2 linked regions of the Coturnix japonica genome follow. The main gene of each other region encodes a partner of the protein of the gene in region 2 in a complex. Links are inferred from orthologs where the notes say so. Each region holds a gene or a part of one and is shown on either strand. Other genes may lie near its edges. The genes, in order: MCM3 and GINS4.

The links.
Region 1: GINS4 (region 2) and MCM3 share a complex: the UniProt entries of both Homo sapiens proteins name them as parts of the CMG helicase complex. The link is inferred for Coturnix japonica from reciprocal best matches to the Homo sapiens genes GINS4 and MCM3.

Annotation. Positions count from the first base shown.
Region 1 is NC_029518.1:98,088,651-98,095,528, reverse strand, and holds the start of MCM3 (DNA replication licensing factor MCM3), read right to left. Parts: upstream 3,492-6,878; 5' UTR 3,309-3,491; coding exon 3,228-3,308; intron 3,044-3,227; coding exon 2,931-3,043; intron 2,336-2,930; coding exon 2,127-2,335; intron 1,864-2,126; coding exon 1,733-1,863; intron 1,240-1,732; coding exon 1,001-1,239; intron 716-1,000; coding exon 607-715; intron 7-606; coding exon 1-6. UniProt on the Homo sapiens protein: Acts as a component of the MCM2-7 complex (MCM complex) which is the replicative helicase essential for 'once per cell cycle' DNA replication initiation and elongation in eukaryotic cells.
Region 2 is NC_029537.1:3,955,861-3,962,738, forward strand, and holds the start of GINS4 (DNA replication complex GINS protein SLD5), read left to right. Parts: upstream 1-3,042; 5' UTR 3,043-3,086; coding exon 3,087-3,179; intron 3,180-3,369; coding exon 3,370-3,456; intron 3,457-3,626; coding exon 3,627-3,740; intron 3,741-4,193; coding exon 4,194-4,291; intron 4,292-4,951; coding exon 4,952-5,040; intron 5,041-5,284; coding exon 5,285-5,375; intron 5,376-5,459; coding exon 5,460-5,556; 3' UTR 5,557-5,563; intron 5,564-6,544; exon of another isoform or gene 6,545-6,878. Other genes in the region: GOLGA7 (golgin subfamily A member 7), read left to right, coding at 574-675, 1,102-1,149. UniProt on the Homo sapiens protein: Required for correct functioning of the GINS complex, a complex that plays an essential role in the initiation of DNA replication, and progression of DNA replication forks.

The sequences.
Region 1 (6,878 bases), on a different chromosome or scaffold from region 2:
GATATCCTAAGGCAGAAGAGGCAAAGCACAGCCTGTAAGTGGACCGAAGAACAAGTTCACAAGCCCATTACAGCACCAGAAAAGGAACTTATTCCTATCACAGAACTACACTGACAGAGGTTATTTAGATGGGAGAATACTGTTGGAATATTCTTTCCATGGGGGCTCTGAAGTCCTAGACCACCTCGCAAGCACTGGAAGCAGCAACCCCCACAAGAACAAAGATCTGAACACAGGACCAGACTGGGGGGCAGGCCCCCATTCCCTCCCCCAACCAAAAGAACTGGCATTTTGCTTTGTTTCCTTTCAGAAATCCAGGCTGTCATCTAATTCCGTTCTTAGGTTTGAGGAGGAAAAGTAGAACGTTGCAGAGGAGCTTCTCTAACAACCAGCGAGCAGTCAGGGCACACACAGCCCAGACAGAGCTCCATTTCAACAGCTACGCACAACAGAGCAGAGCCATCAGAAACTCTGCTACAGCTACATGTAATACATATGTATACATACATATATCACAGAAATTGACAAAAAGCTACGTAGAAAATGCAGGGAAAGCAAGAGGAAAATCATGGAAGGCGAGCTTAGAAATAAGACCTACATAAATACCTTGGAGCGATTCTTACTGAACCTCTTGATCTTGGCCACGTCAGTCGCAGAGTAGAGAGGCCGAGAATCTTTGCTCATCTGCTTGATATGGCAGGCAATGAGGATAGTCCTGGAATAGCGACACAGCTACAATGATGTTTGTGAAGCTCATAGAGCTTTCAGGGTCATCATAACAACAGCAGAAGTTTCATAGAACCATAGAATGGTTTGTGTTGGAAGGGATCTTTAAGATCACCCAGTTTCAACCTCCTGCTATATGCAGGGGCACCTCCCTCGAGACCAGGTTGCTCACAGCCCCATCCAACCTGCCCTATGTTTCATCTTAGAGGGATGGGACCCTGCTAAAAAGGGGTGTCAAGGCTGATGTTGTCCTTGAAGCCAGCAGAAGGCTCACCTGAACGTCCCTGATGTGTAACCTCCTTTCTTTCCTGGCAGGCAACGATAAGTCCCAACCACTTGAATGCGATCTCCAGGCTTCACTTTGTCCACCAGATCATCATCCAGAATGACATCCACCGAGCGTGGCAGCTGCCCTGCTGGTGCCTTCTCAGGCATCTCCTGGATGGAGATGGTCTGATGGTCCTTGTAGACTGAGAGGCCAAACTCTGTCTCCAGGGGGTTATTCTCCTCATCCTTAAGGAAGAAGGCACAGCAATAAAGAGATTAGCAGCACTGGGAAGAGAGCATCACCCAACACACACATGAGCACTGCAAAGGGCTGCTTTACCTGGACTACCAGATCCTGCAGTTCACCAGCAATACAGCTCCCCCTGATCTAATGCTGCCAGCATCAAGCACTGCCACATTAGAACCCTCCAAGCACTGCTCCCAATGCAGGCAGGCCATGCAAAAGAATGCACGTTCAACAGACATAGCTTAGGTCAAGCTTCCTCCATTCCCAAGCACAGGGCAATCCCTGCACACAATGGTCCACATACCCTCCAGACAGCAACCATGGGATGCTGGAATGGTTTGCATTGGAAGAAACCCTAAAGACAATCTAGTTTCAATCCCCTTGCCACATACAAGCATGCCAACCAACAGCTGATCATGTTGCCTGCTGAGCCAGCATATTCTCCCCAGAGGAACATGCAGATATTCCCCATATGAGGCCGCTTCACCTCACCTTTGTAGGGTAAACAGAGCTGGAAGGGAAAGCATCCAGGGATGTCAGGTCTGTGTATCGGCGCTCAATGGTCTTCTTGGTAGCTGGGCAATAATGGACGCTCCGGACAACCTTGGGACGAATCAGAGAGCCTGGGTTTGGAAGAAAGAAGAGTTAGGGGCAGAAAAGTCCCACTTGTTTGTCACCATGAAACCCCAAAAAGATATCCACTATATGCACAGGACAAAAGTGCTGATAACCAGAGTGCCAAGGACTGCAGCTCCCAACATTCAAGTCCACTGTTACCATCACTCCACTTGTCCTCCCATTGGTTCTGGAGGACTCCTGCTGTACCAAACACCCCGACCCTCTGCTCCTCACACCACCCAGCATCCCAACCTGCCCCCAGGCTCACACTTTGTCACGATGCCCTCCACACAAACAATGCAGCTCAGGAAGCAGGCGGTCAGCGTCCGTGGTGAGACGTGCTTGGAACCAAAGCTGCCCTCCAGCCCAATGTAGAAGTCCTCATACTGCTTGGCATAGGTGGCATCAACAGAGGCAACAAAGTCCTTCAGAGCACGCTGGAAGGCGATGAGCTCCTCAAAGGCATTGCTCAAAAGCCTGCAACAGAGGGAGGTGATGGCTGAGAGCTGCATCTTGTTGGCAACCCTGTTTGGCAGCTCTAAGAAATCCCTTCCAGATGCCTCGGTGTGCTCTGAAAGAACACTGAGAATCCCACAGCTCATGGAGACCAAGAGCCTGAAGGTGAACAAACCCAATTACATCTGAAACACCTAACAGGGGATCATTAAGGTTGGAAATACCTCTACAGTCACCCAGCCCAACCCCCCTGTGCCCACTGTGTCCTTCAGTGCCACATCCCCATGGTGGGGTCACCATCCATGGGGGTGCTCCATAACCACCTCCCTGGGCAGCTGTGCCACTGCATCACTGCTCCTCATGACAAGAGATTGTTCCTAATATCCAACCCAGACCTCCAACTCGCAGCTGTCACATCTCAACTTGTACTTAAACCATTTGCAAGTCTCTTGCAAAAAGACCCCAGAACCCTAAAGCTGAGACGCCTCACACCATGCAAACACCCGAATTTTACTGTAAGGATTCAAACAAACAGGATTTGCTCTATCAATGGGCTGCAAGCTCGTAAGGGCTGGCTGGCTGGCACAACAGCACCCCCCCCCCCCCCCCCCCGTACCGGCTGGCTCTTTTCTCGTTCCTCCTCCGCAGGTCGTTGATGTTGACCAGGAGGCGGTACTGGTTGTCGCTGATCATGTCGCGCACTTTGCCGTGGTAAACTCCTTGATCTTCCTGCACACATAGGTAACAACACAACCCTCAGTTTCACATGAGCCGTGTAAAGCCATTTCCATTTATTCCCTGGGGAATAAGCAGCCCCAGCGCCATGGCTCCTGTTGGGGGGTTTGGGGGGGAAGCGATGACCACCCCCGGTTATAAGGGGAGGCTGCATCCCGCAATACACGCCGCTGCTCACCTCATCGTCCAGGAAATCCAGGTAATCGCGCTGCGCTTCCCGCAGCTCCGCATCGTCCAGCCCGTCCGCTGGGGCTGCCATGCTGCAGGGAGGGGGTAGTAAACAGGTAAGGACCGGGTTGCTCTTTAAAGGGTCCTATAGATCCTATAGATCCCCAGCAGACCCCAAACGCCGGCCCGGATCACAGCAACCTCCACGCTTCTCTTTGGCGCCAAAACCGAGCGCTTTCCCGCCACGGCGGGGGGAGTTCCGCTCCTCATTGGGCGGCGCCGCCGGGCGTCAGCCAATGGGAGGCAAAGGGGAAGTGGCGGGAGTTGACGCGCAGCAGCGGCAGCCAATGGGAGCGGAGGAGGCGGGGCGGGGGCGGGAATGGGGCGTTTGGGGTCTGGGGTCCCGGCTGAGCTTTGGGTGTCAGCAGCGGGATGAGGATCTAAATTAGTGTATTTATTGCTGATTCCTTATTATCACTGGGGTAACACCCCGTTCCAGGTTCAAGCATCTCCCCTGCCCTCCCCCCCCCCACCTTGTAGCTGCAGATAGCAAAGCGGAGACTCCCTATGGGGTAACGGATGTCTTTTCTAAGGGGATCTTAGCAAGGAGAACGTAGGTGGCCATATATGCCATCCCATAAACTGGGAAGGAAGTGCTGTGTGTAAATCCAAAGGGAGCCCCAGCCCATAGCGGCGTTGCGGGGTTCGTCCCGCTGAAGGTATGGCTGTGAACCAAGGGCAGCAGCACGGTAACGAGTTAGGGCTAAAAATAAGCGCCTGTTGTTATTCATGAGCCTGCCCTATAGCAACAGCCTCGGCACGGAGAACGCCGAGTGAATAATTCATTGCTACAGGTCGGGGAAGGCCGAGGATGGAGGCAGCTCTTCCTATGGGGACCTTACAGGGGTAACATTAAACAGGAATCAGGCACCTGAATGCATGTAGAGCAAGGGCTGCAGTGTCTTCCTATGGTCCTGCACCCGATGCTCAGCTCCCCCAGTGCCAACATGATGCTGAGTCGCTCCCTTCTCCTGTCATGCGAAAGCAAAATAAAGCAATGAATAATACTGTGTTTCCAAGGAGGTCTGAATAGCCCAAATATAGATGGCTGGAGGTTTCGCGTTGCTATTTCTGTCTGCTCATCTGTTATCGTGAATTCTGGTTGTTACTAAAGGCAGTGACAGCTGGCTCCTTTTATTCCTGGTTTTCTCCCCTGCTACGAGCCTGGCTATCACCCATCTGCATACAAAGCACTGCTGATCTGCACCCATTAGGGATGGGATCCCACTTACCATGAGTGACCCCTCAGTCACAGGACCCAGCCATACGATGGCCTGGGTTGGAAAGGACCACAATCACCATCTGGTTTTAACCCAATGCTGTGTGTAGGGTCACCAACCAGCAGCCCAGGGGTGGTGCCCCATCCCTGCACACAGCCAAGGTCAGGCTGGATGGGCTGTGAGCACTGCTGGAGCTGTGGGTGTCCCTGTGCAGTGGGACTGATGGCCTTAAAGGGGCCCTTCCAACACATCCCCCCTACCCCTATAATAGGCAATTCTCATCCATTTTACCCCTGTTTTTGGGGTGGGGGACAGGCAGGGAGAGCCCAACCCTGCCCAGCTGAGTCGGAACCTGTTGGGATCAATCTCCGGAGCAAACACAACCACACCTGGGAGGGAATAAAGCGGGTGATTCATTTCAGGGTGTAAAGTACCCCGAGCTTAACAGATCAGAGCATCTGGGGAGGCACGTAGCAGGTCAGGGGGCGAGCAAACAAAGCGATGCCCACAAAGCTTCGGTTGCAAAGCATTTGTAAGACCAGAAGGAGACGGAACAGCCGCTGATCAACCCGAGATCCGGCCGGTGGGGCAGCCCGGGGCGGGGCTGAGCGCATGCGCTCGGTGCCTGGAGGCGGTGGCTGCGGGACACGGCGGTGCGGTGCGGTGAGTGCGGGCGGCTGCGGGGACAGGGAGAGGGGACAGCGAGGAGAACCGCTCCGGGTTCAGTTTGTGTGTCCATGGTGATGGTTTGGGGGTTTTGCTCCCCTGGGGCTGTTTGCTGTGGGTGGGTGTTGGGTTTTTCCTACGTGAGCATCTCGCTTTGCATGGAGGCTGCAGGTGGTTTTATTGTGCGCTGTAGGGTGGAGGTGTAGCTCGGTTGGTGGGTGCTGTGGGATGGTTGGAGATGGGAAAGGAGAGAAGCGAAGTGCAGGTTGCACAGTGAGGTGGTGGTGCTCCGTCCCTGCAGGCAGCCAAGGTCAGGCTGGATGGGCTCTTCCCTTAGCTCTGCTCAAGGGTGCAGTCTCTCTTTGTGCAATCCGGGCTATGTCCAAGTGGTTTTTCAGTTTCTGATGTCCTGGTGTCAGCATAAGTGTTTGTCTGTCTCCTCCGTCATTTGGGGAACTCTGGGAGCCCTGCATTTTGTCCTCATGAGCCCCAGCACTGCTTTTGGTACCCATGCACCTTCCTGGAGGGTTTTGCAGCATTGTGCTGGGATCAGTTGAGGTGAAGATATAAGGAAGAAGCTGTCAATAATAAGGATGGTGAGGCACTGGCACAGGTTGCACAGAGAGGTGGTGGTGCCTCATCCCTGCAGACAGCCAGGGTCAGGCTGGATGGGATCTGAGCACTGATGGAGCTGTGGGTGTCCCTGCTCAGTGCAGACAGTGGCCTTGAAGGGTCCCTTTAACTCAAGCCATTCTATAACGTTCCCTTCCATGCTGGAGGGGCACTTAACTGAGAGATCACTGCAACCTGAAGGGCTGAGGATGGGGACGTGGGTGACTGTGATGCTGCAGTCATGGAAAGGTCATGAGAAAGGACATTTGGATGCCCTGCGGGAGAGGAATGCGGGCTGCGGGGCTGTTTGTGCTCGCTGCTGGGGCAGGGAGGGGACGGCGAGCTGCCAAGTGCACCGCTCAGCTCAGCTCAGCTCCGAGGGGTGCAATGTAGCACAAACAGTTCCTAGAAGCACGGCCCTGCTGAGCCCAACCGCCTTTGCACACTTCCTCCCACCAAGGTGTTGTTTAACGGCCCCTGGCTTGTGGGATTGCTGATTGTATGTATTTACATTGAAGCTGTGCCTGAAGCCGTTGTGTCATTCCATGCACGAAAGGCTGAGCAGCAAACCCAAAGCACAGAAAGAGCGTGTTGTCCTGGAAGCTGTAATTTATGGGTCTGCGTAAGAGATTTGCAAGCTGGTGGCCGTACCTCGTGTCCTTCAGGCGTATGTGCTTTAATCTTCCCCCCAGCAAATCCTCAGCATCCCATATTTGCAGGGGGGGATTGGCCATCTACTCTAGGAGCTTTGCGTGCAGCTCTGCTCACCTCAGAGGCTGGGGATATGGACTTGCAGTGCATGGAGGACAGCAGCTCACAGCTCCAGGGCTGGCACACAGCTGCATGCTCTGCCTGCTGCCTCTCTCCCTGCTCCCTGTGCCGCACGTGATGGATGGGCATATTTTTCTGATGACCCAAGCCTGAAAATCTGCTGCCTTCAAAATGTTTTTGGGCATCGGGCTTTTTGTGGGTGATGGTTTGTTTGTAGGAAAGCTGAACAGTTTCAGTCTGAGATATCTTCCAGCAATGCTTTTGGTGCAATGAGGGCCCAGGGATGCTGCGTGCACACTGATGGAAGGATGCTGCACAGACATCATGGGAGG
Region 2 (6,878 bases):
TCTTTTGTTTTCCTTCTTTCTTAGAAAGTGGTATATCCTACAGACTTCAGATGCTTTATTTCCTGGTGGGTTTTCTGTGACTTGTACCTCAGTTGTATGAATTCCATATAGACTCTGGATCTTACTACGGGGTGACTTAACATCTACAGACAAGTCCGTCTGATATATGAGTTACCTGAGCAGTGTAACATTTTCTGTACAGAACAGTTTCTGTCTCTGGTGGGTATCGGTGCTCTCATGCTGGGTTCTCCTAATATTGTTATATCGGTGGTATTGCTGAGCTATGGCTCTAAGACGGGAAAACTTAATTAAGAAATCTAGTTTCATAAATCACAGAATCACAGAATGACCTGGGTTGGAAAGGACCTCAAGGATCATGTAGTTCCAACCCCCCTGCCTAGCAGGGCCACCAAACATACGCCTTTACTAGATCAGGTTGCCCAGGGCCCTGTCCAACCTGGTCATGAACACCTCCAAGGATGGGGCATCCACAGCCTCCCTGGGCAGCCTGTTCCAGGGCCTAACCACTCTCCTAGTGAATAAACTGTGACTTCCCTGCTGTTCTATTATCAGGTTCTAAAGAAAATTGCCAAGTTCATTCAGGAACAGAACGAGAAGATCTATGCTCCTCAGGGCCTCCTTCTGACCGATCCCATTGAAAGAGGACTAAGAGTTGTATCCTTGTGTGGTTTCTAAGATTATTTCTTAATTCTTTAATAATATGGTATCCTCTAGTCATGCTTGATCTGTGATACTGCGAAATACATGATCAGTCTTGTTACTCTCAGGTATGTGCTGTTCTTTGAGCAGATAAGTTTATTTCTGCCCTGTTGTGGAGCTTTTGCTGAGATTTAGGAGGAGATGGCAAGGTTCACAAGCTCTTTGTATGCAGCATCTTGTGTTCTTGTTGTCAGAACAATCCTGAGCTGCCATAGGTCGATCTGATCTGACAAGGCAGGTGAGCTGTTGTGTTTGTTTTGTAGCTCTTGAGTAAGCAGCTATGAAGCAGAAAGATCAAAAGTTCTAATATCATAATGATTTTTTCACTTTCATTTTTGTAAACTTCTTATAGTATATTTTCCTAACAGCCTTTCTACACAGATTGAAATTACCATTTATGAAGACAGAGGCATGAGCAGTGGAAGATAAAACTGTGGAGTCTCAGGTACATATCAGCATTACAGTAGATGCCAATCTCAGCTTCCTTTATGGTGCTCAGAGTGGTAGACTCTTCTGCTGAAACAGAATGTTTATCCAGCTACTGCATGTCATCAATGACTTTTTACTTAAGTCTTGTGTGGTGTAGGTTTTCTGAATGTGTGGTTAATTTCATGCTACTCTCAGTTCAAACAATAACAGATTTGACTTAAACAGTCAAGATTGGAATTTGGTAAAATATACATAAACTGAACTTGCACTGTATCAAGCCCAGAATGGCTTTCTGTATTTGAAGAGTCTTGATTTTTCACAAAGCTTTTCTGGCATAAGTCTCTACCCTTTCTGAGAAGTAATACTTCCTAATTGATGGTGCTTTACTGTTCTTCCTATTATGCTGTGAAAGATGCAGCTTTTCTTGAATGTTTTTAGAGGTACCTAAAAGCTTTTGTGTTTAAAGCATCTATGAAAAGGTCATAACCCATGTTAAGAATCACCTTGTATTTTGCCTGGCAATCAGTTCTAACATGTAACTTCTTTTCTAGCAGACAGCTCAACAGTGGACTTGCTGTATCAGTTCCCCTACCTCCTACTTTAGAGCATCATTCCTCTTTCTGCTGCCAGATCCACAGTGCCATTTTCTACAGGGACTGACTTCCTAAAACTACTCCACGTGGTGTGACCCAGCTGGTCAGCATTCATTTTGTGGCGAATTATTGAGCCTTGAGATCACTTTTAAGTTCCTAAAGGAAACGCAGAAGTGGTGAAGCTGCATATTCTTCTGACAGAACCGCATTAACCCAACAGAAGTTGGCTCTAGTCATGTAAATGTGGTGCCGTTCCTCCCCACTTCTTAAATCTTTCTGATTGGGCTTTGGAAACCTACAAGTCAGAGTGGAATTTTCCAGAAGAAAGGCTTTCCCTCGAGGTCAGTATTGCAGTGAGGGGATACGCAGTGCCTCTTCCCAGTGCAAAATGACTCAAGGCAATGAGCGTTGGAAGCGTCCTGTACTGATTCTTATGGAAAAACTAGAAGGCAAAAAATGTTTCTCGTTTTAATGTTTTGGTTATTCCTAGAAGAGAGGGACTTTATTCCTGGTGTTTTTTCTACTGCTGTGTATGTGCTGTTGTATGTCAGTGCTGAGCAGAAGAGGGAGAGTCTATAAAACAGGAAGTACAATAAAATGGATGCTGAACCAATAAACATAACTCTTCCCCTTCTCTGATTAATACGTGAAGTGTAAAACTGTTTCTTTATGAATTTATTATAACTTATAGGAAAACACTGATTCGACAGAGCTGTTGTGTGGGATGGTCTCATCACTCTTTGCCTGCTGGCGCACTATTGAGCTGTGTGTTATTTCCTCTCTTTTTGCATTGACATTCCTCAGCAATACCTAAAGCACGTTCCTAGGAACCAGGTTTGGGTTCATTCTTTTCTCTTTGCTCTTCTCAAGGAAAAATATGTTCAGAATTGAGCCATGATCCAATTATAGAAGGAATTCAAGAGCTTAGGAATAATATAGGAGAGATGGAGTGTTTTGGCTTTTGGTGGTGCTGTAGGTGCTACTGCGTCTGAAATTCCAGCCTTGTTCCTCAGCCAGTAACTTCTGTTTTGTGGGGTTTTTTGTTTTAATTTAATATTCTAACTGTATAAAACTTGTTTTCTAAGCTGTGGTTGCCTTTCATGTTTGTTGCGATACTGGCAGAAGTACTAATGGATCAGTAAATTTTTTCTTAAACCGTGTCTGTGGCCTGTTCAGTCGCGCTGTTTTGAGGTGTTTTGATGCTAAAAGCACATCCACAAGGCCTAGCAGGGCCGCACTGCTGCACCCCCTACGGCCGCCATTTTGTCATGGCTTGCGCCTGCGCTAGTGCAGAACATCCGGGTCGCGCTGTGCGCCTGCGCAGTGGAGCGGCGGCTTGTTGTAATGGCGGCGGCGGGCGGTGAGGAGCCGGACTCGGACGATGGCAGCGAGGAGCTGGTTCTTACCCCACTGCAGCTCATCCGCAGCCTGGAGCAGGTAGAGCGGGACAGGGATGAGCCCCGAGGGGACTTTTAGACCATCGGCAGCTGGAGCTGTCCGAGGAAGGAGCGGGGAGGATGACGGTCAGGCCTGTGGGCCCGCTGGGCGGGAAGGGGCGATGTGGGGACGGGGTCCCGGTGGTCGGTAGGAACTGTGTGGGCCTTTATCACATCGTGCTTCCTCCTAGGCCTGGATGAACGAGAAGTTTGCCCCCGAGCTGCTGGAGAGCAAACCGGAGATCATTGAGTGCGTGGTGGAGCAGCTGGACCACATGGTGTGTGCTATGGAGGGGGTGCTCTTCTGACTATTTACAATGCTTGTTTGCTGAGCATAGCGTTGGGAAATTCACTTTTTATTTCCCTTGTGAGCTAATCGGGCTTCTTGCTCTCTATTTTTATTGTTTGCTGTTTCAGCCTTTTCAGTTTTCTTTGCCTTTCTTTGCAGGAGGCAAACTTAAAACGGGCAAAGAAAGGAGACCTGAAGGTCAGCATCCACCGCATGGAGATTGAAAGGATCCGTTATGTGCTCAGTAGTTACTTGAGGTGTCGACTTGTGAAGGTAAATACTGTACAGAGCATAGGGAAGCTTTACTTCAGGAGTGATTCCTGTTTTATTATCTACTGCTTTAGCAAGGCACTTTGTTAAAGATCCCCTATCTCACTATCTACAGTGCAACCAAAAGGATTTCATCCCCTGGGCGTGCTTTTCTGTTGTGGAGAATCACAGTATTGCTGTGATGTTCTGTTATAATGGCACGTTTTTTTTTATCTAAGCCAAGGTGCATGATCCTCCTGGGTCCTGTCACATGCACCCATGCAGCTTTAAGACCCCATCTGACTGTATTGTTACTAAGTCAGAAGCAGGTAATTTGGGTAGGCTTGTGTTTACTGCATACACCTGTTCAGGAGAGGATCACTTGTAAGGGTAGTCTCTGGGGGATTTTAGGTACTGAACTACTGGAAAGTTGGGTTTTAATCTTTTTTTTTAATCTCATTTTTCTTCCAATGACAGATAGAGAAGTTTTTCCCACATGTGCTGGAGAAGGAGAAATCTCGAGCCAGAGGGGAGCCTTCCATTCTATCACCAGAGGAGTTTGCCTTTGCTAAGGAGTGAGTGGGCTTTCAGTGCATCTCCCTCCCTTTGCATGGGGTACAGAACTGAACAGCTCTTAAGCGTTAGACAAAGTTGCAGTAAGATTCAGGTGTTCAACGTTCCTTATGGACATGGAGGGGAGTGTAAAGGTGGTAACAGAGGATGGTTTAAAGGTGGCTAATATAAAGATATTGACCAAGATGGTGATAAATAGTCAAAGGTTATTAGTAAAGAAAACTCACCAATGTCGATGCCTGGACCAGATAGCTGAGGCAGACTCCACTGGGGAGCAATCTCCAAGAGATGCTGCCTCAGAGGTGGTCAGCCCTTAAATGAGGTCTCAGAGGGGGTGGAGTCGAAGTCCACCCCTTCCAGGAGCACAGCTCCATTACTCTCACCTGTGCTCCCGCAGCTGACCCAACACTTGCCTCAGCTAATTAATCAGTGGTTCAAGCTGTGATTTCCCATACAAGAGAGCTAAAATGAAACAGTTCTTGTGAGTCTGTGGTATACTTAGCATCTGAGCCAGTTATTTCTGTGGGTTGTTTGTAACTGGATGACCAGGAGGTGTCACCTGTTGGCACTTTTGAGCAAATGCTCTCCAGGCAAATTTGTGTTTGACTTAATCAGTAAATGCTCCAATGTTGGGGGGGTTTGGTGTTTTTTTTTCCCTTCAGGTACATGGCAAACACCGAGACTTATCTGAAGAATGTGGCCCTAAAGCACATGCCACCCAATCTGCAGAAAGTGGCTCTCTTAAAATCAGGTGAGTACAGACAGACTACAGGCAGTCTGGAAAATTATTGCAAATGAGGTATGGAGAAAGCTCTGAGCTCACGCTAGCCACCTCCATCTGCTTTTTTCTTAAGCTGGGGCAATGCAGACTACCTCTGTTATTCCCTTTGTTGGCAATGCATTTGTTGCCCCTAGTACTCCTTTCTTCACTGAGCATTCTGCAGAGGAACATGAGTGAGTGCTGAGTCTGTACTCCAAATCTGTTGTATCTGCAGTCCCGAAACCCAACCTGGACTCTTTTGTGTTCTTGAGAGTGCTGAAGAGACAGGAGAACATCCTGGTTGAGCCAGAGACTGATGAGCAGAGGTAGGTGGTCCTTCCACACCCAGTGCATTTGAACAAGACTTGTTTCCCAGAAGCAGCTTAACACCCTGCACCTGCCTCTTTCAGAGAGTACACCATTGATCTGGAGGAGGGCTCACAGCACCTGATCCGCTACAAGACCATTGCCCCACTGGTGGCCTCAGGAGCAGTGCAGCTCATCTGAACAAGTGGTGAGCACTGAGGTGGGGCTGTGCTGCCTCCTGGGTATGGCCCAGGCCCAGCTGGAAGGTGGCAATGAAGGAGTCTGGGCTGGGTGCCCCACAGGGTGTGGCTTGGAGAGGACTGGCTAAGGGTAGCAGCAGGGCTGGGAGGTGCATCTCTGAAGGCATTCAAAGCATTCAAGTAAGCCAACAAGACATCTTTCCCTCTGCATTTGCAAGGGGCTTATTCCCCTCCTTCCCCCCCACATAAACAAGCTCTTGCTTGCTTATGACACACATTTGGAATTCAGCCAGGCTCTTTTCTCCCACTGTTGCAGAGTGAGGGCAGTCTGTGTCATAGCACTCACTCACAGGGCTTTGGCTGAGCCCTTCCATAGTCTCTTTGGAATCCCAAGGGATGGATGAGCATAGGCAGCATTTCACGATATCTCAGAGTGGTTTGACAGCAGACACGTACAGAGCACATATATCTTCAGAGGTGAATAATGCCTTTGTAAATGCAAGGGTGCACTTTTTTAAGGTGCACCTTACATGTATGTGTTCATTCTTGCCCCAGTTTAGCACTGTAAGATTAGGCTATAAGGTGAAAATTGGCTGATGGAACAGTGTGGTAACTTGTTGGGTAAACTCCACCTTTCCCCATCAGCTTTGATCTCATCACAGCCTGTGCAACTTTGGGTGTTGTGCAAGTGCCCAATTGCTCTGAGCTGAACTGGAGGGATACTTCTGCACCACCTTTGCCACATGATCCATTGAGCAAAAACACACATGAAGGCATTTGCTGGCAGAGCAAATCTTGATTATCACACAAGGAGCAGGAAGGATTGGGAGCAAATTAAGGATGGAAACTACAACTCAGAACAAAGAGAATGTCGTAAGCAAGCAGGGGAGAGCCCTAGGATCATGTGAGAGATGCTTAACTCCAGCTTGTTAGCAGCAGCAGGAAGGGAGGTTGGAGAGTTTACCAAGTTTATCTCTGTCTTTCTCAAGGTATTGCCTGGAAAATGGCCATGAGCTTAGGAATTCAGATTGTCTGCTCTGAAGGATAGTTACACAGGCCAAACAGCAAGTCTCTTTTTCCTTGGAATGTCCCAAGGCAGAATTTACCTTGCAGATGGAATAAACTTTGTTCTGCCTGTGCAGTGTCTTTCCCAGTGTGGACACAGTTGTCCACAGCACCTTCTGACTTATCTAGAGAGAAGTTACAATGATGTTTTCTTTTTTTTTTCTGGTGTTCTGGCATTAGTAGCACTGTCCTCATAAAATTATATCTCAGATTTACCTGCAGTGTAGGGCTGGATTTGGAATTGCTTTCCTTTGTGCT